Rhinolophus ferrumequinum: one gene and its partners. The protein of the gene in region 3 interacts with the protein of the main gene of each other region in a pairwise test. Links are inferred from orthologs where the notes say so. Each region holds a gene or a part of one and is shown on either strand. Other genes may lie near its edges. The genes, in order: SNTG2, SPZ1, DTNB and PPFIA1.

Evidence for each region.
Region 1: the proteins of DTNB (region 3) and SNTG2 interact in binary tests that used the Homo sapiens proteins (3 or more experiments, as listed by UniProt). The link is inferred for Rhinolophus ferrumequinum from reciprocal best matches to the Homo sapiens genes DTNB and SNTG2.
Region 2: the proteins of DTNB (region 3) and SPZ1 interact in binary tests that used the Homo sapiens proteins (3 or more experiments, as listed by UniProt). The two-hybrid records come from large-scale screens. The link is inferred for Rhinolophus ferrumequinum from reciprocal best matches to the Homo sapiens genes DTNB and SPZ1.
Region 4: the proteins of DTNB (region 3) and PPFIA1 interact in binary tests that used the Homo sapiens proteins (3 or more experiments, as listed by UniProt). The link is inferred for Rhinolophus ferrumequinum from reciprocal best matches to the Homo sapiens genes DTNB and PPFIA1.

What each region holds. Positions count from the first base shown.
Region 1 is NC_046296.1:70,931,677-70,939,347, forward strand, and holds the start of SNTG2 (gamma-2-syntrophin), read right to left. Parts: upstream 3,020-7,671; 5' UTR 2,871-3,019; coding exon 2,796-2,870; intron 1-2,795. UniProt on the Homo sapiens protein: Adapter protein that binds to and probably organizes the subcellular localization of a variety of proteins. May link various receptors to the actin cytoskeleton and the dystrophin glycoprotein complex.
Region 2 is NC_046290.1:51,735,232-51,740,995, reverse strand, and holds SPZ1 (spermatogenic leucine zipper protein 1), read right to left. Parts: upstream 1,627-5,764; 5' UTR 1,624-1,626; coding exon 505-1,623; downstream 1-504. UniProt on the Homo sapiens protein: Transcription factor that binds to the DNA sequence 5'-CANNTG-3'(E box) and the G-box motif. May play an important role in the regulation of cell proliferation and differentiation during spermatogenesis.
Region 3 is NC_046296.1:54,567,576-54,575,132, reverse strand, and holds the start of DTNB (dystrobrevin beta), read right to left. Parts: upstream 3,001-7,557; 5' UTR 2,982-3,000; intron 2,457-2,981; coding exon of another isoform or gene 2,270-2,456; intron 2,178-2,269; coding exon of another isoform or gene 1,885-2,177; intron 1-1,884. Other genes in the region: protein SSXA1-like, read left to right, coding at 1,885-2,177, 2,270-2,456.
Region 4 is NC_046294.1:3,075,948-3,083,451, forward strand, and holds the start of PPFIA1 (liprin-alpha-1), read right to left. Parts: upstream 3,007-7,504; 5' UTR 2,789-3,006; intron 1,525-2,788; coding exon 1,261-1,524; intron 1-1,260. UniProt on the Homo sapiens protein: May regulate the disassembly of focal adhesions. May localize receptor-like tyrosine phosphatases type 2A at specific sites on the plasma membrane, possibly regulating their interaction with the extracellular environment and their association with substrates.

The DNA of each region.
Region 1 (7,671 bases), about 16 Mb from region 3:
TGTCGCAACCACAGCTGGAGGAGAACGCGGCAGTGAAACGAATAAAACGTGTCTGAAATCACCTCTGGTCCCGTCCACGGTCCTGGCACCCACTGACAATAAAGTCGTGGCACAACCGATAATGTGGAGGATACTTAGGAATCTTCTCATAGGTTAAACTTGGTTCACGCTTACATTTTTTGAAATATTTTGGTGTTTTGGCTGAGCCTAGAACATCTTTCCTTCTTCTACAGACCTTTCATATTAAACACTATGACTGTAAATGTTTCCTTATCGTTACAAAACGCTCAGTTCCAAATAAGAGGGAATTCAACAGCTTAAAATGTACTCAAGTTTCTCTCCTTGTTGCTGGGACCAAGTCCTAGAGGGGGTCACGTCGGCACGTGCAGTGTGAACACCAGGTCTGATCTGAGCGTAGCCGCCGCCAGGGACCTGCGCGTGGCCCCACGTGATGGACAGTGACGTGCTCACATCACCGTGGCCCAACAGCCTGTCATTGCTTCTGAGGCCATGGTAGACACGGCTCCTCACACCCTAGTAAACGCGCCCTCCTGGACACACCGCCCTGAGCCTTAAACTACATCTATGACGTCACAGCACGGACGCAGGTGACACCCCCACCGTCAGGTCACGCTCACACGCCTGTGCGCTCGAGCCACCCCTACCTGGGCGCACGGCACCTGCCTGCCCCACTGGGCACCCAGGTGTGAGCAGGGCCCATACACACATCTGGCTCCCGGCTCAGAAAGCGGTCCTGTTCCCTATCCCCATTTCAGATGACAACATGGGGAAGAGGCAAGTTTGCTGCCCCTTTTCTGTCACTGGTTTTTTGGGGGGTGGGGGGGTGGGGGGGATAAAGTGCAGTGGTCTTCCTGTGGAGAGGAAACAGGTAAGACAGAGATAGGTCACTCATGTGTCCACATCACCTCAAATGCTGCTGCAGTCGTGACAAGAGCCCTGAGAAAGCAAGCGTGTCCCCAAACAGACGCGGACCCACTAAGTGCACTGCCATGCTACCGCTGAGCCACGGTCCAGACACCACACACACCCCCTTCAGACCTGCAGGCTCCCAAGGATTAAGCAGCACTGTTTTAGCCTGATGTCACTCCATGATTCTAGGAACTGACAATGTAAGATGTGTTTAGGGAACTCGCATGATGATAGCCGACATTTCCATTTCTGGCTGAGTAATCTCTGTAACGTCATCTCCAAGCCGACGTGTGAATTTTGGAGCTTGAAGAACTTTTGCAAGATTCTAACACCGCTTCCTCTTTTTACAATTGGAGAAACTGAGCCACGGGGGTTGACTGGCTTGACACTGGCCATATTTTAAATGCAGCAAAACTGAAAATTAGAAGCCAGCCCTCCCTAGTTTCTCCACCTCCTGCCACTCACGTGTAAGACGCTCGGGCGAAACGGCCGTCACGAGGAGAACGTAGAAGTAACTAGAAGCTGGTCAGGAGGGTGATGTCACGTCACTACCACTGAGAGCAGTCGAAAGAATGAAAGTCTTGTCAGCAAGTGGCGTGACATGTCTGTGTGAGGGCCTGGCTGTGCGTCAGGTCTTTAGAAAAGGAGTGACCTTTGAACCGCAACGTCAAGCATGTTACGAAACAACACAGCTTCATTTTTAAAAGAATAAGTGAAGACCCGAGTTTAGTATTGAGTTACGTCACCCTGGACAGTTTTACAGTAATCGCAGCACATCAGCCTTCGTTTTAACCACAAAGACCAAGTGAGCGACAGAATAAAAACGTACTGACAGAGGTGAAACACATACAGCTTGTCTGCACAGAGAAAATCTGGTCAGAAATCAGTTGAGTATAAAGCGAGCTGATGATCACATCAAATTCTGTTTACTGAGAAAATTTTCTCAGCTTTACGGCAAGGACGACAATTATTTTCAGTTAGTAACAAAAGGCTAAAGACGCCAGTGGTGAAAACTGAAACTGAAACCCTACGAACATCACTCCCTGGGACCGCACAGACTAATGACTGGATTTCTGTCACATGACAGTAACGTCAAGCGCTACTAAAAACAAACAAGGTATAATTTTTTAAAACATTAAAATTTCACGTTGTTGCATTGTTTAGGGGACTGTGCTTGGGCACTGCTATTCGGCAAAGTTTCGTTTCCAACAACGTCTGCTCTGCAGTAGCTCGCATCCTCGACAAAGTAATGTGGGCCGTGACTGGCACTGATTAAGTGCGGAGTCTCCCTGGGAATTCAGGGCTCTGCAATGCAGTCTGCACTAGGACTAAATGAAAGCGAGAAGCAGAGCGATTTATAGGCACTCGTTTGAGAAATAACTAAGAAGCTAAGTACAAAGAAAAAGTCATGTTTCCCCAGATTCACACTAAGCACAGAGCTTGACTCGGGAAGTTTCCAGGACGAAAATCACAGCCCACGCACGGTGCGAGCTCAGCTGCCACTCCAGCAGCCGCCTCGGGAGCCTGCATGACTCAGGCCTCCTTGGAAATTCTCTGAGAGGCCGTCCTGCGCCCTCACGTTCCCCTCAGGCCAAACCACGCAGATTAAGATCTGAGAGGAGGCTGAACAGTATGCACAGAAATCCGGGCTTCTCTTCACGCGTCACTAAACCTGAAACGATGACAGTGTCACCTCTAGTAAAACACAGGCGCTAAGGACTCGGCTGCTGTGCTTTCCAATTGCCCACCAGGCCGCCTGTGTCTGGCCCTGAAGTCGGGGTCCAGCCCCCAGCCCCCCACACGCAGGGGGCCCCGGTTCTCATCACCCGGTTCTCAGCGACCACAGCAACGTCTGCTCCACAAACCTGGAACTCCTCTCCCCTGACGCTCGTCCATAGTCCTGTGTCAATGTCCTGAAAACCCTTGTTACTAGTCCGCATCCTATCATGTATTCAGCCAGCTGTACTGAGCGTCCACCAAGTGACAAGCAGGCGTGGTCAGCGTGAGTCACAGAGAAGCCACACTGCTGTCCCATCCAGGCTGGTGTCCAGTGACTAGCAGAGCCGCAGACACACGCCGTTTATAAAGGGCCTCTGAACAAAGGTTTGGGGTGGCCTGGCCGGCGCGTTCAGGAGAGGCTCCTCCAAGGAACCTGAGAAGGAGGGGAGGACAGACAATTCTGGGCAGAGCAAGAGGCCGCAGGTGCCCAGGGGCCGCAGGAGGGCATGGTGAGTGGAGGACACAGACGGGCAGTGTCAGGGCAGAAGGAGGGGAGGGGCAGAGAGCAGTTGGCGGGAGAAGGGAGGTGGGTCCACGCCCCCCACACAGAACCTCACTGGCTGGTGAGGACGTCACTCACCAGAGTGGCACTCGATGCCTCTGGAGCCTTGGACTAGACCCACTAAGTGCAGTCGACTGACCTCTGACCAAGGAGCTGAGACTGTCTCTTCAACAAATGGCGCTGAAACAACTGGACGCCACGTGAAATACAATGAATCCACACACAGACCTCATTGCCCTTCACGAAAATCAACTCAAAATGGATCAGAGAACTAAATGTGAAATGCAAAACTGTGAACTCCTGGAAGGCTACACAGGAAGAAACCTGCATGACCGTGACCATGGTGACGACTTCCTAGATCCGACCCCAAAGGCACGACCATGGAAGAGGCAGCTGAGAAGCTGAACTTCATGAGAAGTAAAGACGTCTGCTCTGTGGAAGAACCGTCGGAGGGGAAGGCAAGCCACAGACCGGGAGAAAACATACGTGCGAGACACGTATGAAGAAGGGCTGTTATCCAAAATAGACAAAGAGCTCTTAAAACTCAGCAACAAGAAAACAAACCACCCAATTAAAAAAATGAGGCAAAGACCTTAACAGACCCCTTGCCACAGAAGACATGCAGGTGACACATAAGCTCACAACCTGTGTCATCAGGGAGACGCCAATGAAAACGACCAGACCCCACCACACACCTATCAGAAGGGCCACAATCCAGAACCCTGACGTCACCAAGTGCTGGCAGGACGTGGAGCCACAGGAACCCTCAGTCACTGCTGCTGGGGACGCGGAATGGAGCAGCCGTCTGGAGGAGAGTTTGCTGGTGTCCAACAAAACTGAACACGGTCTAACCATATGACCCAGCCACCACGCTCCTTGGTACTTACTGAAAGGAGTTAAGGACTTACGTCCACAAAACCCTGCACACAGATGTTAACGTAACTTCAGTCTTAATTCCCCCAACTGGGAAGCAAGCAGATGCCCTCCAGTAGGTGATGGATAAACTGTGGCACATTCATACAATGGAATATTATTCAGGTAAAAAGAAATGAGCTCTCAAGCCATGAAGGACATGGAGGAACCTTAAATGCTGAAAGAATAAATGAACGAAGCCAGTCAGAAAAGGCAACATACCCTATGACCCCTTTCTACGACATTCTGGAAAAGGCGAAACCATGCAGGCAGCACAAGGATGGGTGGTTCCCGGGGTTGGGGGGGCAGGGATGAGCCGGCTGGGCTCAGGGGACGGTTAGGGCAGTGAGACTACTGTGTGTGTGTTCTAGTGATGGGTCAGGTCATTATCCAAAGTCCCCTACACAACGCAACATACATTAACATGTATTAATATTCCCAATGTCAGTCGTGTATCTTTGAAGGTGTCAGAAATAAACACTGTATCCAGAAAGTTTTGTAATTGCAATTTGATTATGGCTTCTGTTCCATTTCTTTAATTTCTTCAATAAGAATCTCATCACTTTTTTCTATCATTTGTTCTATCTTCCATATCTCTTTTTTCTCATAATTGTGTATGTTCTTTTCCTCTGTATTCTTAGAAATCATAGTTTTCTCAATATCACTAATTTGATTTCTACGTGTTTTCTGCTTCTTACTTATTTCTGCGAGTGCAGAAGTTTTTTTGTTTCATAAAAAGTCATTTGTTTGCTTTTCAGTCCAGCACACAATAAATTGTGCTGTGCTCTGCAGGACAGCCTCAGACGTGCTTTCGTTCCCCCGCCCGGCTCACCCCACACACTCACCCTGGCTGAGCCAGTTACCACTGTGTTTGGCTCCTGCCAGGAACAGCCGGGAGCCACAGGACACCCCTTGCCCCCTCCCTGACGGCCTCAGTACAGCAGTCAGTTCCCTCCCCGACTGCAGCGAAGGGCAGCGTGAGTTGTGCAGCGTCTCTCACTCGCTGATGGTTATGAAGAACTAAGGGGCTTGTTCTTACAGCCGCTGCCTGGTCTCAGGATTCCTGGGAAAGCTGAAGCAGCCCGCCCCCCCACCGCTTCCCCAGGAAGACACCACTCTGCAGGCGGCCGGGACACCACCCTGCCTGGTGCTGTTCGGACGTTCGTGGGGCAGACACGTTTTCCAGGCTCCAAGGTACCTTCTGGGGCTGGCTCATATGACGGGGCTTTTGGGGGAAGGGGGAGACTGCCTCACGTCGCAGCTCACGATTAAGTCAAAGCCGTAAGAGGATTGTGGAGAAGAAAATACAGCAGGACTCAGTGAGTTCCTGAACGCAAATATCCTGATACAGCAGGTCCACTGGGGCACAGAAAGCCTTAGAGGCTCATCGATTTGGAATAAAGCCACAGGTTACTTTTTTCAAATGTTACAGAACAGAAATCTCCATCCTCCCTTCCCTCTTCCCCGGAGCTTCCGTTAACATGTGACTATTTCACAGCCACACACGACTTCAGGACTGAACCCCGTCTGAGGTGCTGGCTTCCCCCTGAAACCCAGACGGTAACCCTTAGACTCACAGGGACGTGAGCTCGAGTTCCTCAAGCTGTCAATGGGCTCCGTCTCCAGACCTGACCTGTCGGGTCACCGGGTCACCGACAAGGACATGCAAATTCCCAGCATGCCGTGTCTGTCGGCGTCAGTGTCTGGCTGGTGTGAGTCTCGAGTGAACAGGAGAGGGGAAGAGGCCAGCGAACTGTGACAGGGTGTAGGGCCCCCAAGTCTCCCGTGGGACATGGCAGACACCTCCTCTCAGCCTGCAAGAATGAACGAGCTGACGGCTTCACCTCAAAAGCAGACTTGCTCACTAGTAAGTTACAAGCTGAGGAGTAAGTTCAGCCTATAGGATGTCTCTAAAAGGAACACAAACTTCATTAAGCTCACTTTCCAGGAAAAGTGCACCCACTTTTTCCTTTGACTTAGGAGGACGTTTCCAAAACAAGCCCAGTGAGTTACCGTACACCAACTCTACTGCCCTCTCCTTTGATTCCAGCGAGAACACTCATATCCTGGCAGCAGCGCTTGCGGCAAAGGACAGGGTGTCCATGGTGTACAGGTTAGAGCAGCGTGAAGAGCCCCTCTGCTTAGGGCGCAGGAGGCTAGGATGACATGTGTCCGAGCCCAAGGCTGAGGTTCCAGGTGACCAGACACTCACCCATCATGAGAGAAGCTTTGGACGTGCAGGCTGGACACCGGGGTCCAACACTGAAAACTGCTGTCCCGGTGCCATAACCTCAGCATTTACAAAAGGACCCGTCCCTCCCTCGCCCGGAACACCACCCGCCGGAGGTGAGGCCGGCCCGAGAGCTGCAGCAGGGGCAACTCAGATGAGACAGCACGCATGGCAGGACAAGTGGCCAGGATGCAGGTCGGAGGTGGCCCAGGGGGTGGGGATGAGCGCCTGGGACAGGAGCTCGGCTACAGGAGGTGGGCTATGCTCAGCAGAGGGGCGGGAGCTGGTTGTGGTCTCCACAGAGAGAGAGCAGAGTCCCTGTGACCCGAGCAGGAAACGAGGATGGTGAGGCCCCTCAGCTCAGGGAAGGGCCTGCACGTCCCATTTCCATCACTAATCAGGACGTTCTTGTCTTTTTTCCCATTAGCATGAGCGTATGCTATTAGCCAAAAACAAGGGGAAAACCTTTGTTCTCTTAAAGGCACGAATTTGATAAAGTTTCGCCTTTAAAATGCCAAACACTCAGTGACAATGCAGCTCACAGAAAACATCTGCCCCCGGCCACAAGCAAGGACAGGTGTCGCCCACCAGGCTAGGGCAGCCCATTGCATCGCCTCCTAGTCACACCAAGACTGGTCCTGTGTCACCTGCTGTCCTGTCACACACGGCTCCACACCATCACCCTCCCCACTTTCCAGGCCCCAGGGAGGAGGTGTCCTGCAGGGACAAGACAAACATTTTCATGTCACCTCTCCCCATTCTCAATCCAGTCTGGACCAATTTCTAAGGAAAACTGACACACGCCATAGCCTAAGTGCAACCAAGAACAAGCAGGACTAAGCGCCTGATAACGTGGGACACCTGGGACGCCTGGCAGGCACTCGGGTTTCCTGCAGGGGCTGTGGCTGGGACAAAGTCCCTCAGGAAGGACGCGACGTCCTCAGATGAAATCCAAGCAAATGACCGATGATGGCTCCTCCTCCTGGAGCCTCAGCTCCGTGGCCACTGTGCTCACAGAGGCCCCTGCGGGGGGCAGAGTTCTCCACTCCGGCTCCTTTGCCCACCACGCCCTCCAGCTCGTCCGTGACCCTGGCTGCTTCCCAGTGCTGCCCGCGTGCACCCGGCAGGGTTCTGGACCCCAAGTCATTCGCTCCCCTGGCCTCTGTGCCCTTGCGCCCTCAGGCACTCTGAGGAGCAGATTAGCAACATGTGGGCACCAGCCTCGGGGACGACAGCCGCCAGGCTGAAAGCACAGCTCCCACCCCCACTCCAGGCAGGAGCCTGGACTGCGTGACCAAAGCCACACTTACTGAGCTAC
Region 2 (5,764 bases), on a different chromosome or scaffold from region 3:
TTTTTTAACTCCACTACCTCCCACACTTCATTGGATAATAGGAAAAAGGAACTTACATTTAGAAAATGAGGTTTGAAGATTCACAATTAAATTGTTATATACTTTTTCCCCCAGAACTTCACCTCCCCGCCCCCACACCCCAGGTCATGATTAAATAAAAAGAAACTTTCCTTTATTCTGGTCTTTATTTAGATCTTTACTAAATTGGACATGTAACTTCACACTTTTGGTTAAAGTGTCAAGGGATGTCTATTTAATAACTACCAAAACAAGCCAATTGTAAAGGTGACAAGTTATGAACTTGATGTTGACACTAACAGCCATTAAAGACCAAACTTATGTAACTACTGAGGTAACAAATAATGTTAATCTTATTCTATAGCTCTTTCTCGGTTGAACCAACAGATCTACTCTAGGTTTGATGATTGATGATGCCTGGAGTTGGATGAATCATAGTTTTTTGAAAAATTTTGCCTTTTTTTTCTCCTTTTTGTATTTTCTATCTTAGGTACTAGCTGGCCTCTTTCTTCTCACAAGAACTCTTCTTGCAATACGAGTATTGAAACTGTTCTTACGAACTTTCTTATTATGACAAGCATCCAGGCTTCTGTAGAATTTGTCTCTTTTCTGAAACGTACCTTCCATTTCTTGCGTTTTCTGCTTAGACCTTTCTACCTTCTCTGCTTCTGATAGCTTCTGTTCTTTCTTGTCCTGTTCATAGTTTATCTGAATTGGCTTCTCTTGCACAGTTCCGTCTTTCTGATGATGGAGATGGTGGAGAAGCTCTATTCTCTTCTGTAAGATTTGGCATTCATTCTCCAGCAAAGCTGCAATCAAATGCAATGAATACATGTCATGGTTCAGTTTCCTCACCTGTGCCTCTCGCTCATAACTAGCTGACACCTCAGTATTCTGTTGAGTTTGGAAATGGACTCCATGATTTTCAAGAGTTACTCTTGTGTCTTTCTGAGATTTCTGATATGATTTTATTAGTCCACAAAGCTCCGTATGTTGCACACTCCAGCGTTCTGCTTCCCGTAGTAACTGATCCATGTTGTTCCTAAGTTTGATATTTTCTTCTTGAACGTGATGGAATCCATACTCTGCTTTTTCCTTATGTAGTTGAGTTTCATTGCAAGCTCTTCTTTTTCCTGAATGATTTACCAAATTCCTTGCAAAACCTTGCACTGTGTCCTTTGAGTTCTGGTTTTCCAATGTCATCGTCTGTTTCTCTGCCCTGTGTTCTTTGTCTACATATAAACAGCCAAGCAGGTTTTCTGATGGCACTTTATTTATTTTATCAAGTCCTCTGATTTCTTCTTTAAGTTCTGACACATCCTCAAAGATATTGGTTTCCTCAAAAAGTTCTTTTGCTTCTGTGATCTTGTCTTCATAACCTGTCATATATTTAAGAATATCTCTAATTTCTTTTAAGAGATTTTCAAACTTCTTTTCAGTCTGTTGTTCAGTTTCTTGTTGGCAACTATTATTTAGGGAAAGAAGAGAACTCCAGGAGACAGGAGGAGTTGATCCAAGTAAGGCAATGACAATCTTAGGGTCCAAAGATTCTTGATTGAGATTAGGAGTAGGTTTAAGAGTTTCAGAGACGGTGGGCACTTCCATCTCAGCTGAGTAAGCAGGGCAGGTGATCAGGGCAAAAGGAAAACAGAAAACCTTAGAGATTCCAGGAAGGAGAGGTGATAGTCCTCTGTGCAAATGGGTAGAGCATGTGGAACTAAGCAGAAGTTAGAGACCAGAGTTAAGGTTTGAAACCATGTAGATGATATTCACGTGGAAGGTGACATCGCAGACAACGGAGTGGGGAGGGGGGTGAGAGAGAGGACCCAGAGCTAGGGCCCCATCTCTCCTCCTCCAGGCTTCTGGTGTTTATTCCCCTGACCCTAGCAACCAGGTCTTCCCCAGCTTCTGTTTCCTTTGTGTCACAATAGAAGCCTCTTAACCCCCCACCCAGTGAGTGACTCTTGCATCAAAATCAACCTTGGGCTAATCCTACTCCTCATTCCAGAAAGATCTCTAGCCAGTTTTCCTCTTTTAACTTTCCTAGGTTTTTACTCATCTCATTCTAACTGTATTTAATGACTTTCTACCTCATTCCCACCGCCCACAACCCCAACCTTAACACGCAGTGTCTTTCTACCTCCTAAGTGTATGGCTGAGAGGAGCCCTCCTGGTGACGTTCCCCATCATTTCATAGCACCTGGACAACTTATTGCTTCCATTGGAGGAGAGATGCTACTGTAAAAGAGTTATCTTTACAAAATAGAACCCCCAAAGTACTTCATCTTTTTGTGATTTTAGACAAATAATGTCAGGAATTGCTCCATTCAAAAATATTCTATTGAGTAAGAACAGACCATGTGAATGGTTCCTTAACAACACAATTACAAACTGGGACTTTTCTTGGCTTTGTATCCTTTAAGATAGGCTTACTAAGTGTGCTCCTAAGTCCTTTACGTCAGGTGATACAAAACTTCAATCATTACTTTTCACAAGAACTTGTTAAAATGGCATAATGTATCGAAAGCATTTGAAACAGCTAAACCCTATACTGGGTTATATTATAGAAAAGAAACTGAAGTTACCTTGTGAATATTAAGTTCAATCAAAGAACACATTCCTAGCCTTCAAAATCTTGTTAGCAATCACTTTACTAACTAGATGTTTGTTTCCAGTCTTAAGGGAAAACTCATACTCTAGCAGGTTTTTTTTCCTTTTCTTCCTTAAAGAAGAAAAGTTTATGTTTTTTTCTTTCACAGCTACTGACTCATTTTGGCTTAAATTTCCCTGAGCCTCATTCTCATCTCCCAGCCAGCTGGCTCAGAGCCATAGCCTCATGACAATCCACAGATACAGCAGTGTTGGTCTTTTTTTCCCCTTGAACAGGGAGCAGCTTTTGCAATTCACCCAATGATACCATAGAGGCTAGTAATTGCCCTTATGCTTTAATTCCATCTCATAAGTTCTGACTTTGGTTGGTATTTCCCCTTTGACTCAAGCCATCCTTTATTATAGTTTTTTAACCTCCAAGACGAGGAAACTTTCTATTTTTTTCTGATTTTGATATTAACTTCTAGCTTTATTGTACTGTAATCAGAAAATATAATATTAGACCTTTGGAAATTGATATTTTCTCTTTGGCCTAATAGATTATCAATGTTCATATATTTTTCATGGATACTTGAAAAGAAAATGTATTCTCTATTTTCTTCTTGTGCTTGCAGCTTTTTTATACTTTTGGACATAAATCTGATATTACCCTTGATTTTTATGGAAACTGGTTTGAGAGTAGCTGGGTCAAGGTACCAAAAGAATTATTTTCCTTTCATCAAAAGAGGATTTAAATATTTTCTTCCTCCTTACAGATATAATGGAGTTTCAAATAATATTTCTATTAACTTTACTGAAATTTGAGTTTGCTATAGATGCTAAAAGATATTCAGAGTGGTCTTCTTTTCCTTATTGACCCATATTTCCAGTAGATAACTATGGAAATGAAGTACATCTGGTTTGTCTTACAATTGTTATCTATTAAGTTTCCTGTAGCTTAATGGCTTTTAAGAAAGAAATGCAAAAACTGTTTTTAAAAATATTAGAGATGAAACTTGTATAGAATTTTCTCTCTCCCCAAAACCAGTTTGCTTAAACAAAAATATAAGTGATATCAAAGGGTACATGATGTCAATATGTCTTATTTTTGGTGATGTTAACCTCGGTCATTTCACTAAGGGATATCTGCTAGATTTATTCACTATAAAGTCACTATCTTTCCCTTTGTAATTAACAAATATCTTGGGGGAGATATTTTGAGATGCTGAAATTATCCGGTTTCTCCTCAAACTTTTGCCTATACAGTATAATTTTAGTATATAGGAGTGGATCTTGCCTGCAACGATTATTGCAGTGCTGAGCTAATGGTGATTTTCTATTTTTCTCATTCCTTTTACATTTTTTGATTGGAATTATTTTGTAAAGAAGAGCTGCCTTTTTTCCTGTATTTATTTTATTTTAGGGGTTATAATGAATACTATCATTTATTGCTCAAATATGTATAAATAATTTTAATATGATGGGATTCTTTTGGTATAATGAGGTGTGTTTTTATTTTGTGTAATTGTTCTAATTGTCCAATTGTTTTGTTTTAACTGATTACAGATGACTATTCGAGGATTAGTCTTTACATGCACAAGGGATTCTATGCAGGGTGTGATTTTAAACATAATGACTTATATGATTGCTTTTATATGTAGTATAGTACTTGTGTATAGCTAGTTTAGAAGAGAAATTTTTTGAAAATGTGAAATTTTATTCAAACAAGCAAAATACAGACATAGGGGGACAGGGATATTAACCCTTCTCCTCAACATGTCTTCTTCCCTTTGACCTCCAGATGGTGCTGTGGACTTTAAAATTATTACACAAACGTTTTTGTGTTTTTTTTTTTTTTTTATTAAATTCTCGAATTAGTGAAACTGGGTAGATATTCTCATCCACAGTCTTATTTTCTTCAGAGTTTGAGAGTGGAGATTCTGAGTGTTTTCCCACAGTTACAAATGGTTATAGATAGAGCAGGAGTCCAAGCCTATTGTCTTTTTTTAAGTAACACGCAAATTTATTTTGGCTAAAAATTCAAAGTGGAATTATGTAGATTAATGTAAAGAAGAGAAATAAGTAAAACAAACAGCTTGCACATGAATTGTATATAATGAAGCATTGATTTTTATTTATTTATTTATTTATTTTTACATTATTGATTATATTCCCCAAACTGTCTTTCACTTGTTAAATTTCCAGGGGAGGCAGGCTCTGCAGATCAGGAGGCTGTGGGAGAATTTTTAAATATATGCTCATGGTTATACAGCAAAAGGGTTATGTAGAAGAGCAGTTTTTCAAAGCTGCTGAGACTGGCTTGTTTTACCAAGTCGCTGGCAAACAAACTTATATAACACAAATTACATTGTGACTAACAAAAATGTGACCAGAGGCTCACAAGAATTTAACAGTGTATTTCCCTTAGAAGCAGTAGTTCTATTTTCCCTAATTCAATGTTGGCAGCGACTGTATAACATAATTACTGCACATAACCAGAATCAGCTGTATGTAAGAACAAATTTAACAAAATTTGCACTCTGTAAACTATAAAGTATTGTTGAAAGAAATTAAAGAAGATCTAAATCAATGGAAAAACATCTCATGCTGATGAATTTGAAGACTTGATTTTAGGATAGCAATACTCCCCAAATTGATCTACAGATTTAACATAATCTCAAAATCCCAGCTGCCTCTTTTGCAGAAATTGACAATATGACCCTAAAATTCATATGGAAATTCAAGGGATCCTCAATAGCCAAAACAATATTGAAAAAGAAAAAAAAAGTAGGAAGACTCAAATGACTTTACTTTAAGTCTTACTCTAAGATATAGTAATCAAGATAGTGATATTGGTGAAAGGATAGACATACAGATCAATGGAACAAAATACAAATAAACACACACAAACATAGTCAACTGATTGTTATCAAAGATACAAAGGCAATTCAATAAATGGTGCTACACAAATTGGACATCCATATGTAAAAAAAATAAACCTTGACACATACCTCAAACTTACAAACATATTAACTCCAGATGGAACATAGAGTTAACTGTAAAATACAAAACTAAATTTTCCAGAAAACTTAGGAGAAAACCTGTGTGACTCTGTATTTGGTGATGAGTTTTTTGATACAATACCAAAAGCATAATC
Region 3 (7,557 bases):
GTGGGCTCTGGCTCTGGGACCCTGAGAGGCCACCATCTGATTCATGCAGGACTAAAAATAGTACATGCCTCAGCACCTTTTTCTTTACATAAGTTTTTCTTTCTTTTTTTTTTTTTTTTTAAAGATAAAGCATGAGTTGAAGTACTTAGTACCAGGATTAGTCTCGAATCAAATAGGTGAGTAGTTTGCTTTTGGCATCCTGTTACAAACCCATCCCAAAGGTACTCATTGCCCTCACATAGCAGTGGGACCCTTCTGTGGGCCCCCTTACCGCCTCCTTAAGGAACACTACATTCTCTGGCACCTTCTTCAACTAAATGACTTCTCCTGTAAAAATCTAAATATGCAACAGGCAAGGAAATGGTATGGCATCTGTGATACTCGTCAATGCAATGAATTAGGCAGTCATTAAAATTATCATAAAGATTGTATAGAAACTTAGGGAAATATTAATAAAAGAATATTAAATAATATGCATTATTAAGTGTAGAAAATATCGACATCATTATGGCTATACAAATATGAAAAACTAAACAATATGCCAAAAAATGAAACTTGTAAGAGTGGTGACCACCTTTGTTTCTTTGAAATTTTTAAAAATGTGTTATAGTGTGACAGTTATTAAAAACTACTCTTCTACTGTCCCTTTTCTTCTCTGAATTATAAGATAATAAGCAATACTCAGGACTGCAACCTTCAGTAACAGAACTGTATATAACTGCTGAGTATTCACTAACCTTGAAAGGTCAAAAAACATTCCCAGTGAAGTCCCCGATAGACCGGCTGGCTGGCAGCTCCAAGCGCAGCCTGTTCTGTTATTGTTTAAACAGCTTGTTAATGGCCTGACACAGAGGCCAGTGAAGATGAGCAGCCCCTGAGCAGCTGCTTAAGCAGCAGGTTGGGAGATGCTCTACTGACAGCAAGAGAAGATGCACTCTGGGCTAAGTGGTGTGAAGGGCTAAAAATCTGGCTTTTTATTGGGACCATTTCTGGTTCAGTTATACTGTGAGTGGCTTCATGCCTCATCCCATACTTCATTCCAGAGCGATAGATTTTCAGCCTCTGCCTGTATGTGGATGGAGGGAGAAGTAAGGCTGAAAGTGCCAATTTCCTTTCACAGCCTGTAAGGTGACGGGAGCTGTGATAACAGCCTATAAACACCCCAGGAGAGAAATGCCAGGGGCCGGCCACTTCTGGGTAGAATTACATAAACAAGTGGTGTTGTTATGCAAGGAAACACAGTCTGAAAAAAAAATATTCTCCTTAATGTCAAGTTTTCCTACAGTGAACTCAGTGAAACAACAGAATCATCTTTCCTTGGGGAAAGAGGGCAGTAGGAGAAAATACCGGTTCTTGAGACTCATAAGAGATTTGGAGGACTCTGTTGGACAGAGAAAGCCAACAAGACATACGCAGGGGAATGCCTGCATACTGGAAGAGGCTTAATACCACAGTGATGTTGGATGCTCTGGGGAAGAGAGTTGCGTGGAGGTGAGACAAGCATCTTTGTCAGAGGGAAACTGTCTGACAAAGATGTAGTCTCATTGTAATGCTTCCCTTTCAGCCTATATCTCCTCCAGCCTCTAGGAATCCTAAGAATATAAATACTCCATCATTGAATGAATTCCACCCATCGGTCTTAAAAATGGTTCCGTAAGGACCCCACTCCTGCCTCAACTTCCCCAGTATTATCCTGACTTGCAGTGGGCCAAATCCACTTCACTAACTATTCCGAGTGGTCGAAGGTCCCTGGGTAACTGAATTGCGGTTATTCATCTCTGCGGGGATCGACCCCTCACTGACACCTCACTTCTGAGGATCTTTGGCCTTGGTTCTGGAGAGACTCGCGCTGTGTCCCTTGGCCATCGCACCATTCCCAGCGCCATGGACAGAGGCAGCTCCTTGGCAAAGAGCCACAGAGAGGATGCCCAGAAATCACAGGAGAAATATGAGGCCTTTGATGATATTTCCAAAAACTTTTCTAAGAAAGAATGGGCAAAGCTGGGAGACTTACAGAAAAGAACCTATGTGTACATGAAGAGAAACTACGACTACATGACTCTTCTAGGTCTCAATACCAACTGCCCATACTTCATGCATTCTCCAAATCAGTCTACAAATGCTCTTGAGAGTGATTCTGACGAAGATCAGAGCCCCAGGAATCAGGATGAAAATCCGCAAGAGGCTTCCGATGTGCAATGGATAGAAGATGAGAAGGAGAAGCCCATGGAGCCGGCAAGGGAAGAAAATGATATGATGCCACTACCAGTAACGCCTGCCTCGGAGCCGGCTCCGAAAAAGCTGTGTACCCAGGAGAAGTGAGTTCCTCTGGTCAGGAGACTGAGAAGATGTCAGGACCCAGCAAAGTGAAGTCTAGTGTCTGGGCCCACAGGCTGCGGGAAAGAAAGAACCGAGTTGTTTGTGAAGAGGTTAGTGACCCCAAGGAAGATGACTAAATCCGGATGTGACACGAGCCCATCACATGAAGAAGAATCTGGTGGCCTTTCATGAACATATGCAAAGCTGTGAACCTCTGGCCATCAGGCCTCAAGCAAGTGAAAGAAAAGTTCACCACCGTGAAACGCTAAGCACGATGCTTCTTACAGTGCGTCTAACATTCCGTCAGGTGTTCGTGTTTCATGGATGACTAACACATATCCCTAAGGTCTATTTCTGCCTATGTGTCCAGGCACTTACCTCAGGAACCAGGTATGTTCAGGTGTCTCTGCACAGAAGAGCACTACTTTCCATCTCCCCCGTGTGACTCCACAGGGCAGTTGTGGGAGACTGATTCCAGACATTTTTTTCTCTGCACTTACGAGCGCACTTCTCTCTCTCTCTCTGTCTCTCTGTCTCTCTCTCTCTGTCTCTCTCCTTCTCTCTCATTCACATACACACACACACACACCCACATCCCGCAAAAACAAACATAAACACAAAGACAGACACTCAGAGACGGTACAACTTTGAACATATCCAACCTGCATTCAGCGTGTAATGGACATGTACCCCTCGTCCTGCTCCTTGTTCGGCAGCTGCTCCGTGGCACAATCCCCTATTGTGATGCTCTGTCTCAGTCGCTGGCAGTTAATAAACACAATTTTTGCCAGAAAAAAAAAAAATGGTTCCGTAAAATGGAGGCGATTAACTAAACAAAAAGTTGCTGGCTCACAGATAAAACTTGAAACAGGGATACACTGAAATGAAAATTTCACATGTAGTCTTAAGATTATAAAGTCTGTTAAGGCTTCTTCCTCCTACACACAGCATCTGTGATTTAGTAACTGACAGGAGATATGCAATGGAATCAAGCTTTGCCCTGTTAGCACCATGGTAAGACACAACCTAGGCATGAACAACTAACAGAAAAGAAAGGAAGTTAATACACAGCGTACACTCTCTTTAAAAATACCATCATCCTTAATTCATGGCTGCTAGTTTATTAAATTTTTCAGTAAATTACCCTTACTCATTAAAGGTGAGGAACCTATTTTATACATTCTTTTTATCTTCAAAACTTCAGTAACTAATACCTACATAGCAAATTCAAGTCAAGCCTTAACATAAAATAATTTTTAAAGAAAATTTAGCACAACATACCAAAATTTATGGGATGCAGCTAATGCAGTGCATAGAGGGCAACTTATAGTTGCTTATAGGTCAGAAAAATAGGCAAGAAAATGAAAGATAAGACTTGCAGATTGGAAAAGAACTAAAGAGAATTTAAATTTTAATTAAATATAAGTGTTACAGGTTGAATTGTGTCCTCCAAAAAGATATTTTGAAGTCCTAACCTCCAGACCTAAGAATGTGACCTTATTTGGAAATAGGGAAGTTGTAGATGTAATTAGTTAAGATGAGGTCATACTGGAGTAGGATAGGTCCTTAATTCAATATGGCTATGTCCTTAGAAGAAGAGAAAACAGAGACAAACAGGGAGGAGACCATGTGACAATGGAGTTGAGACTGGAGTGACACTCTTCTAAGCCAAGGAAGGCCAAGCATTGGTGAGACAGAAGCTAAGAGAAAGGCATGGAACATATTTTCACCTATAGCCTTGGGAGAGTATGGCTCTGCCAACACCTTGATTTCTAGACTTCTAGCTTCTAGAACTGTGAGAGAATAAATATCTGTTGTTTCAAGCCCCTAGTTTGTTGTAATTTGTTACAGTACCCCTAGGATACTAATACAATAAGTAAATACCTTCTTCCATTAAGCTGAAATAAAGGGACTGTTAAGACAGGGGATTGTAATGGTGGCACTAAATCTTCTATTTTGAGATTTGGATCTCTGGTATAATTTGATTTAACAACTGTAATGTAGCTTAGGACTTTCTGAAAGCTTTCTTTTCTTTGCCTCTTAATGATTCCTGCTTCCTGTACATTTACTATGCAGTGTCAATGTTTCTATTCAGCCCAGTGCTGGCCCAGTGACTTGGGAGAGGTTTTGCATCTGTATGGGATCCCCTCTCCTGGCTCCAATTTAAATCTACATAACTTATGCAAAGGTTGCAATAATCAGCTTAACTGAATCTTCTCCCACCCCAATGGACAAAGCAGACATCAACAGAAAATTCCAGTATAGGCCAAAGCAATTTACATCCTGGTTAGAAAATATAAAACTTGAGATCAAAGACTCGATGCAGTAGTTTGCAGTAGTTTCCAGCAGACTCTGCCCAGTCGACTTTTCTCTTACTTTAATAAATCTTCCTTCTATATTTCTACCTGACTCGTGAATTCCTTCACGGCCTGCAAGCAAGCAGACACAACAGAGGTCCCAAGAAAGAAAGGTGGGAATCTCCTGGTTGGCAGAAAGACACCCAAGCTACGTGCCACAACCCTATCCCTTCTTTGGTCAGGTAGACCTCGTCTTTGTATATGGCCAAGGCCTGTGGCTACAGGGCCACTGACACCAAGTTAAGAAAAGTAATTGGACTCTTATGGACTCTCTGACCTACCACATCATGGCAGACTCTGTTTGGGTGTTCCCCCATTTCTTCCTCAACAAACAGAGGCTCAGTTGTCAGAGAAGATAACCCTATTTCCAACTCAGGGAGAAGCCTGATTAGTCTTCTCCAGTAATCCTATTGTTTTCACCAGTGACTGGTTTAGAGATGGGCAAGTGAGAGGAACTCTGCTGGAGAGCTTTCTGCAAATGGTCTTCTCACTCTTATTGGAGGATTCCTCTTTTCCTCTGCACATTGTTATAGCTCACCATGAAGTTGGGACTATAGCAAGCTTCGCATGACCAGGAGGAAGGCCAAGGTCAAAGGTGAAATGTTGAGGATGGACAAGCATACAAGTAACGTATTTCCCCGAAAATAAGACCGGGTCTTATATTAATCTTTGCTCCAAAAGACACATTAGGATGTATTTTCAGGGGATGTCTTATTTTTTCATGTATAACAATCTACATTTATTCAAATACAATCACGTCATCTTCTTCTGGAACATTGTCATAACGTACTAAATGTGTCCATCTGGCTGACGATCTTAACTGGGGCTTATTTTCGCGGTAGGTCTTATCACCAGGGAAACATGGTAGGAAGACCGGTTAGAAGATTTTGCAGGTGAGAGATGAGGGTGTCGTGGCCAGAGTGGTGACTGTGGAGGTGGGGAGAACTTGCTGGATTCGGGGTGTATTTTGAAGATAGTGCCCAGAGGACTTGGAGACTGGCTGTAGAGTATGAAAGAAAAAGATGAGTCAGGGAAGACTCAAACATTTTTAGCTTGAGTACATGGAAGGGTGGTGTTGCCATTTTCTGAGATGGGAAAGGCAATGGAAGGAACAGCTTTCGGCAGGAGCAGGAGTTCAGCTTTAAGCTAAGTTTAAGTTAAGTTCGAGGTGCCACATCCAAGCGGAGAAGTTGAATAGGCAGCTAGATATGTTTGGAGTACAGGAGAGAGGTCCACGCTGGAGCTCTGAATATGAGTTGCCAGCATACAGATAGTTATAAAGACTCGAGACTAAATGAAATCACTTACAGAGCGAGTAGAGAAAAGAGACTTGAGGCCTCAGCCCTGAGGCAACACATAGGCTGAGAAGGAGAGACCCAGTGGATAAAAAGAGAAATAACCCCCAACAAATACATAAGAAAAAACACAAACACACCAACATGTAAGGTCAACATTCAATTTTTGACTCAATCACTGTTAATCATAATAATAGCTTACTATATGCCAGGCTCTTTGCTAGGGTCTATGTTATCTAATTTAACCTCGTAAAATTGTATTCGCAATTGAAAAATACCAAGGAAACTCCCAGGTATCCTTACACAAACCAAAATAAATAAAAATGGAACTCTTTAGATGGGGCTATGGGAAAATCGATGCCCTGAAGTGTGGCTGGCGGCACTTAAGCTGGAGTGGAAGCTGGCAGCAATGTAACAAGGGCTCTGAACTCAGCACAGCTTTTGACCTTATATAAGGAGGAAAAAAGTCACTATCAATAAGCATAAAACTCTGGAAATGACCCAAGTCATTGTGAAACAGGCTATGATACATTACCATGAAAGAATGGCCATTTAAGCACCAAAAATGACAAGTATGTGGGTTGTGTTCATACAGGTAAAGTGATTTGTCTTAGTGATGGCTTCCTTTTGAGAACAGAATTCCAGCCAATTAGCTTAAATACAGGAAATTTTATTATGAGAATACAGAGGTATCTGAGGGCTCCCAAGAGCAACAGACAGACTCGAGGCTCTCGAAGGACTGGGACGTGGGCCTGGAAAGTCACGAGGGACCAGGAAACGCATCTGGAGGGTAACAATAATCGTCTCCTTCACCAAACTCTAGTCCGGCTCCTCTGAGCCCTTCCTCAACTAGGCCTCAATCCTGGCCTAGCAAGACTTGAACAAACACTGACATAGTTTCTAAGGGCTCAAGGCCACCTCCTTGGGATGACCCTATAAAGCCCCTGCCTGAGAAAGCTCAAGGCTGCCCAAGGAATCTACTGTTTGCTCCAGCAAACACCTGAAGGATCCCTGGTTCCCCGTCTCTGTGGGAGGGTAGGAGACCAACTTTGATAAGTTAGTTTTCTAACTTTGTGAGTTAGTTTTACACTTTGATAAGTTTTCGGACAAAAGCCAGGAAAGTTGAAGTGATACATACAAGAGACATTTATCAAATTCCTTTTGTTTTCCTGTAAAATTTCTTGTACCATAATTTTAAAAATACATTTCTGAAGAGTTAGATAGTGGTATAAAGGGAGAAATGTTAAACTATCATTGGCCTGTATGTGAACAGGAATTAAACCCAAATGGTAGAGTTGGAATAGTCAGAAGAACTCAAAGACGGCTGGTTGGCAGCTAATTTCAGGCTAGTAATTCTATATTTAGAGGGAAATTGTCCCTTATCACACATTACCAATTTTTGGTTCCCACAGTCCTTTGTGAAGGACTCCTAGCTAGCTTTCTCCATGAAGCTCAGTGTTTGTTATTTTCTTAATGGAACCACAGGAGGGCCAAGACTCCTGTAAGGTAATAAACAGGAATGGGGATGAGGGAGTGCAGGCCCCTAAACAAGGCATTTTCACGCATTTCCTCCTCTGCCTGGAACA
Region 4 (7,504 bases), on a different chromosome or scaffold from region 3:
TCCTGTGCTCCTTCTTTCAAAAAACTACCTTATCAAATGCCTATTTGATTATACTTGACTATATGTTCCTTGAATTATGTTAAAACAAATATAATCACACACACACACACACACACACACACAAAAACTGAAAAGATTTACGAACACAATAAAATCCAGGTAAAACACAATTTGGCCAATCCTTTTAAGCTTCTTGTAATAAAATGTGACCTAAACAAACTTGGTAATTTAGAAAATAAGAATGAGAAAACTCTTAATGATTCTCTAATCCAAAAAAGGGAACATTATTGCACTGACATCAAATTATTGTTGCTAAAAAGGAAATCCAAATGCTTGGCTTATCAATCTTTCACGAGGACTGACTAAAGCCAAGAAACGCATCAAGGCTAGTAATTATTCATTTACTAATCTGCCACTGCAGCCCCATCAGGAGACTATAAATGTATGCTTCTTCAGGTCTACCTGGAAGCAAAAGGCACCTCTTATGAATAAGTAAAACGGCACCTAGACAGCTCATAAACACCCAAGTACCCTTCCTGTCTCCCACTATGCTCTGCGCCATTAACCTTACATTTCAGTTGACACTTTCTCCCTTCACCTATCATTAAATCCTCGCTCAGCTCCATAAGAAAAGGCTTTGAAACACTGGGCCAGACGTAATATACTTACATTAACAACTCCAGTGTGATTCTAAGCTTTATAATTCTCATCTGCCAAGGAGAAGGCTACAAAGGAATCCATCTCCAGTATTCTAGTCCCTAAACCAAATTTGATTTACAAAACACAGGTGTTCTGACGAAGGTAGGCTGTAAAAATATTTTTCCTGTGAAACCAATCCTATTTGTCCATTGAATGTCATTAGGAAACTGGAAATACAAGATACAATCCATGGGACATACACGTTTAGCACAAAATGCCTTAAGACAACAATCGAAAGGTACCACATAGCTGCTTCATGGCCCATTTTCAAAAACTTTGGAGAACTATCCCAAATCTAGGCAGTTCCTTCTGCTGCCTCGAAGAAAGGAACGCGAGTCATGAGGTGTTTTCACACAACTTTAGAGGACCACAGAGTTTGTTCTCCCTAAGGGTAATCCTCAGGACCTTCATGTATACGTGACTGACGTACAAATGCCAGAGCCATTTCACAAATGATTGTGCAAAATACTCATCTAAAATATCAACACCAAAGAAAACGACACCATAAAAAAAAATTAGTGGAAAAAAAAGTGTAAAGCTGCCCGTGAAAAGCATCCATACCTGTGGAAGTGCAGTGTTGAGCTGCCTCTGCAAGGAATCTCTTTCATGACCAACCTCGTGTAATTTCCCCTGGGTTAATGCCAGCGTTTCTTGAGTCTCTCTCAGCGTGTCAAGAAGACGGTCCCTCTCCTCCAGCATGGAGACCATCAACTGTTCAAAATGTGAATCTGCGTCTGGCTGCGAAGGGGAGCCGGACCCATGGCCCCCACTTCCTCCTGGGGGGCCTTCTGCTTCACTGATGGTCGGCATCACCTCGCACATCATCTTGAAACGAAAGACCCAGACTACAGTTATTAAGTGCCTCTCCCACAACTCTGCAAATTTACAGCCATCTGTAGCTAAAAAAAATGAAAGGCTGACGACCTCTTTATTCTCTTTATTCTCTGATGCCCTGAACATCAACAAGCTGGGAAAACATACACACGCAAATCCTAGGTGATGGAACATACAAGATAAAGGAAGACACAGACAGACAATAATTCAAGGAAGGGATAAAGACCAAAGACTACCCCTCGCATAAAGAACAAACCCTTGGTATTTTGTTTGCAGGGCTGTACTTCTAGTTGTTGAAAACAAGTGTGCTTCTGTAACCTATTTTTTTTTCCTATTTCCCGGTGGGGGAGAGAAAGTCAAAACACGTGCCACCCAATCACTTTTCAGGCAAAGCACAGAAGGCGCATACAGCCAGTAAAACTGACAAGTACAAAATCCATCAGGCATCTTACAGGAATGTGTGCAGTCAGCCCCTGGGAGGAACTGACGGCTCCCTGAAGGCTCGGGCTGGGTCTGGGGAGCCCTAAAAGGACTGGATTCGTTAAGGGTTGGGAGAGGAGTTTTTCAACGGCTGTAGTGGTTGGTCAGACAACCTAACTTATGTAAGTTAACAGAGCAAAAAAAAAAAAAAATTCCACAATGGAAACAGAGACGGTCGATACAGCCGTGGACGGCGAGGAAGGAAGGAAAAGTGAAAGATGAGATTTTGAGAGGCGACTAAGTGTCTCATCTATAACGATGGGGCGAGGAGCAAGGGAGCCGGTTCCTGAGGCTGCCGGCGGTATCCCGGGCTTGGCGGACCCCCGAGAGGGAGATGCCCGACACCGCGCACCGGATGGCGGTAACCTCCACCCACTCCCACCGCCCCTGGCGCTGCAGAGACCCCAGACCCCCGCCAGGATGGTGAGAACCACCTACAACAGCAGCGCTGCCTCGCTTGGGGCTTCCAGCGGCCACAGGTGCTTGTCCCCGGCGCCGGGGTCACCCGGGCGCCAGGGTCAGGGTTGGGGGCAGCGGGCGGTCCCAACAGCCCGTCCCTGAGGGCAGGGGCGCGTCGTCCGGGAGTCCCGGGCACTCGCAGAGCTCTCCCACCGGGCCCGGCGCCGCGGGCCTCGTCGCCAGCCCCCGCCCTCCACCCCCGGGGTGCACCCTTCACCCCGCGCTGACAGGAATCGGCCGCGCAGCCGCCGCGGGACGGGCCGGCGCCTGGGGCTCCGCTCCGCCCCGAGCCTGCCTCAGTGTCCCGCTGCCTTACCTTGCTCGCCGGCGGGAGCGGGCGAGAAGGCTCCGCGGCGGCTCGCGGGCGGCCGCTCGCTCCGGGCGAGCTTGGAGCCCGACGAAGGCAGCCCGCGCCCGCGCCCGCCGCCCGCCCCGCGCCCGCGGCCCCGGGCCCGCTGCCCCCAGTCACTAAGGCCGGCCCGCGGCCGGACACTGGCGGAGTGCAGGAGGAGCGGGCCCGGCTGCGCGACGCCGGCGTCAACGTGCCCGACGTCGGGCGCGACGGCACAGCGTCAGCGCCGAGCGCCGCCGACCCGCCCCGCCCCCCAGGAGGGGCGACGGGGAAAGGGCCGCGGCTGCCGACTGCGCAAGCGCCGCCTCCACAGGTGGGTGGGCTGCGCCTCCCGGGCGCCGATTGGATGGGCGCGGCCGGAGCCCCGCCCCTCCAGGCCCCACCTGTGTGCGGTCGCCTCGGCCCAGCAGTGGCTTCGGGCTCTGGTCCTCGTGCGCCGTCCGCATCTTCCACCTCTGGGCTTCCCCAAATTCTCCACCCACGGCGCGGGGACGCCAAAGCCGTTACTGAGCGTCTACTGTGCATCAGGTTCTGAGCCAGACACCTGCCCGACGTCACGTCTACACACCTTACGGGGGCGCGCGCCCGGGGGGAAGCCACCGGCTAGCGACAGGTCGGAGCCCGCGGTGTCACCTCCAGAGCCTCCTGGGAGCTGAGCCATGAGGACTCGGAAGGACGCGGTTTCTACGAAGACCCATTGGCCGAGCTCTACCTGCTGGGTTGGCAGAGACGGGCAGCGTTTGATGCTGGGGCTTCGGGGGCAGGGTCGAGAGGGCAGGCTTTGGAGCCAGGCACACCTGGTTCAACTGCCAGCAGATGCTTCTCCCTGCGATGTGTGCCTGGGCAACCGAGGGGAATTCGTCTGGGATTCACCTCATTTCTAGGGTGGGAAAATGATACAGACCTACCCCAGGGCTGGTAGCAAAAACAGAACATATGCAAAGAGCAGCTAGTCGAGAACCTGGCTGGGGAGGCGCTGTGTAGAATGGTAGTCGTTTTCATCCGACTCAAACATTTTTACGCATATTCACACTTAGGCAAGCTTTTGAAAACATCAGCTGTGTGCCACGTCCTGTGCTAGATGCCGCAGATACAGAGATTAACAAATACAGCTTTAATAAATAAAAACAGGTGCTCCGCCCTCCGGATTTGACTCCTGGAGCACAAACCTGTCACAAACCAGTCAGGGCACTGTTGCCAGGCACCAGTGGGCACTGTCCGGCGGTCCGTGGTGAGGCAGCCAGGAGCCCCTGAACTAATCGAGTTTAAGGAAAGGCTGCGTGGAAGGCTGGGTGAACCCTTTGGATTCCTTGATTCTCCACTGTGAGCCCAGCAAGTCCAGGTGCTACCTCTGATTGGCTTTCTCGCCTCCCGGAGTCCAGGACCACACCTTTTTCATTCATGTATTCATTCACTCTCGATTTATTGAGTGACTACACATCAATACGAATTTGCACCCCTGACCCAAGGTCTGAAATAGAGGAAAGTTTCCGGCTCTCCAAATATGTACCCGCTGAATTCATCCAGCTCGTATTTGCACCATGCTCCTAAAGTACCTGTCTCCTAAGAAATCGACAAAATACCAACATTTAGTTCAACAGGGTAGAATGTTCGTTTACATCTGAATGTCTGGAGGGCACTCTGAGCCAGGCATGGCCGAGGTTTGGGGAGCACAGAGTTAAGGCATCGCTTCCCACCAGTTCACAGCCTGGAAGAGAGAAGAGAAACAGACTATTGCAATGTTTGTCCTATGAACCCTGTGTGACTGGTGTTGTGGGACCCTAGAATAAGGAGGAACAAACTCTCCAGCTGGCATCACCGGGGCTTCGCAAAGGAGAAAACATCTTTCTGGTTTTCAAAGGATGAGCAGTTTCCCCAGCAGGGAAGGGAGAAGCCCGTGTGGTGTAGCTCCAGGGAAATGAGATCCCAGATTTCACTTATTTTCATTCATTCATTTATTCCTCCTCCCCTCCCCCAATCGCAAAATCACTAAGAGGAAAATGGTAAACCACCTAAATGGCCAACAATAAGAGATTGGTTAAATCATTGCACTTCCAAATGACAGAAAGCTTGGTGACGTTCACAATTATATTTTAGATAACCAGCTAATAATGACAGGCAAAATTCTGTATCTCGATTGTGGTGGTGGTTACAAGACATATGCATTTATGGAAACCACAGAATTCTACCTTACCATGTAAAGTGTGTCCTATTTTTTAGAAATGGGAAAAAAACTTTCTTAAAAACAGCAAGTTACAAACAAGTATACAAGATGTGATCAGACAACACAGTGAATGTTTAAATTTTAAAAATTATGACAGTAAAAGACACATTGCCATTAATCCCACTCAAAATACTCCCCCTCGTTTCAAACACACTTATCCCATCCTTCGTGGCACTTTCTGAAGCCGTTCTGGAAGTCCTCTTTCCTGAGTGTCTTTAGTTGCGCTGTCATGGCTGCCCGGATGTCCTGAATCGATTCAGACATTTTCCTTTCATGGTCATTTTGACTTTGGGAAGAGCCAGATGCCACATGGTGCCAGATCCAGTGAATAAGGTGGATGAGGACACACTATGATGTTTTTATTTGACAGAAATTGTCATATTCCAGAAGCGATGTGTGACAGAACGTTGTCATGATGGAGGATGATTTATGGCACACTTTAAAACACAACTTCTCTCAACCGTAGCTCACATCTGACTGATTACACCGAACAAGTTGAAACTTGCCACACACTGTTTCTAAGTTTCAATGTGCCATTTCCCGTATTTCTGGCTCTGCCCCAAAGTCAAAATGATTCAGGACATCAAGGCAGCCATGACAGCACAACTAAAGACACTCACTAAAGAGGACTTCCAGAAATGCTTCAGCAAGTGGCAAGAATGATGGGATAAGTGTGTTTGAAGCGAGGGGGAGTATTTTGAAGGGGATTAATGGCAATATGTCTTTTACTATAATAATTTCTTTTATTTAGACAGTCACCATATTGTTTGATCACACCTTGTATACAATGAGCCCAAATTCAAAAAAGCAAGCAGTCTGTGTTTAGATGAAGCATGTATTATGTAAAATTCACTTTGTACATTAAAAACTCTAGAATGTTATTAATCAAAATAATAGAATTTTCAGAAAATGAGTTTTACATGAAATGAAATATTCTTGAAAGTGAAATTAAATTTTAAGTCTCAAATTTGTAAAAGAAAAACATACACATCTATATGTGAAGATATTGTTCACATCTATATGTGAAGATATTAGTGTTTTATATTTCTCTATACAAACATATACATATATATTCTTGGAAAGAGATACATCAGGATGTTGGCACTGGTTGTCTTTGGGTGGGATCGTGGGTAGTTTTCATGTCCTTCTTTGTGCTGCTCTGTACTTTCTAGATACTTTATGGCGAATGTGCATTGTTTTTATTATTAGGGGGGAAAAAGCCCACAAGTGGTACTTTAATAAAAACTAGGCAAGAATGAACCATGGAGAATTGCTCAGGAAGCTAAAATGACTTTTAGGTGTCGTTATGTATACCACCCAGTTAAACTATCTCTGAACAACACTGCAGAGATTGGGAGGCTTCCTTATAAGCTTCAGTCGGGAAGACAATGAACGTGGAAAAAAAACAGAAGAGAATCTAATTCTTCTGTTAAAGTTTCGGTACAGAAAATAAGGTAATATGGGTGGTGAGGGGTAGAGTTTATTACTATGCCCAGGGTTGTGTCTTCACAAATGTGCTTCCAGCCTCGGCTCTGGATGATGTAGTCAGTTGTCAACTTTGGGTATGACCCGGCCACCTCTCCTTTCTAGAGAGGTAGGCAACCCACAGAGGAGGGTTCCTGTGAGATCAGAGTGTGTCATAGAGATGCGGATGTGTCTCGAGTTTATCTAGATTATGTAAGCAACCTAATGATGGTGGCGTGACAATGACACTGGGGGAAGTTCTGAGCTGGGAGAGCAGTGTGGGGGTGGATGGTGGGAGATGTGGCCCTCCCTTTAGGAGGAAGAGACCGAAGCCAGAGAGGCAAAAGGGCCTTGCCCAGAGGCACTGTCTTGGGGTAGAGATGGGACTGGAGCCTGGAGTGAACTGAGGGTGCCTAGTTCCTGAGTCCACCCCGCTTGGGTTTGCCGTGTACCCCTGCTAAGGTGGGGGGTCGGGAAATGAGGGGAAAGGGAAAGAAAGAGAGCTACCATTTTACTTATTCATCTCATTTAATTCTCAAACTAATTCCCCACGTGGCTTCCTGTATCTTTCCATTTTGCAGACGAGGAAACAGGTCAGAGTGGCCACTAAGCAGGGGGGTCATCAGCCTGAGTATCCCAGTTTCCAAGGCAGTTCTATGTCTCATGGTCAATCAGGTAACTGAAAGTTTGGACCACCGATGAGCCTGCTGGGAGTGAGCGTGGTGTGTGTCAATCCCCGAGAACATGGATGAGAAAACACATTTGCAGAGCATTTTACAGAAAAGCCCTCATTCGATCCCACCTCCTTTTGTGGAGAACACTGAGACTTGCAGAGAGGAGATAACCCGCCCAACACCCCACAGCCTATGATTTGGTAGAAGCTGGGCCTTGAACCCAAGACGGGCTCCAGAGCCAGGGTTCGTGATGCTACATCCAAAGGTGTCCCCAGACCCCCAAGGCTGGGGACCAAACCCCTGGACCTGCGCTGGGCC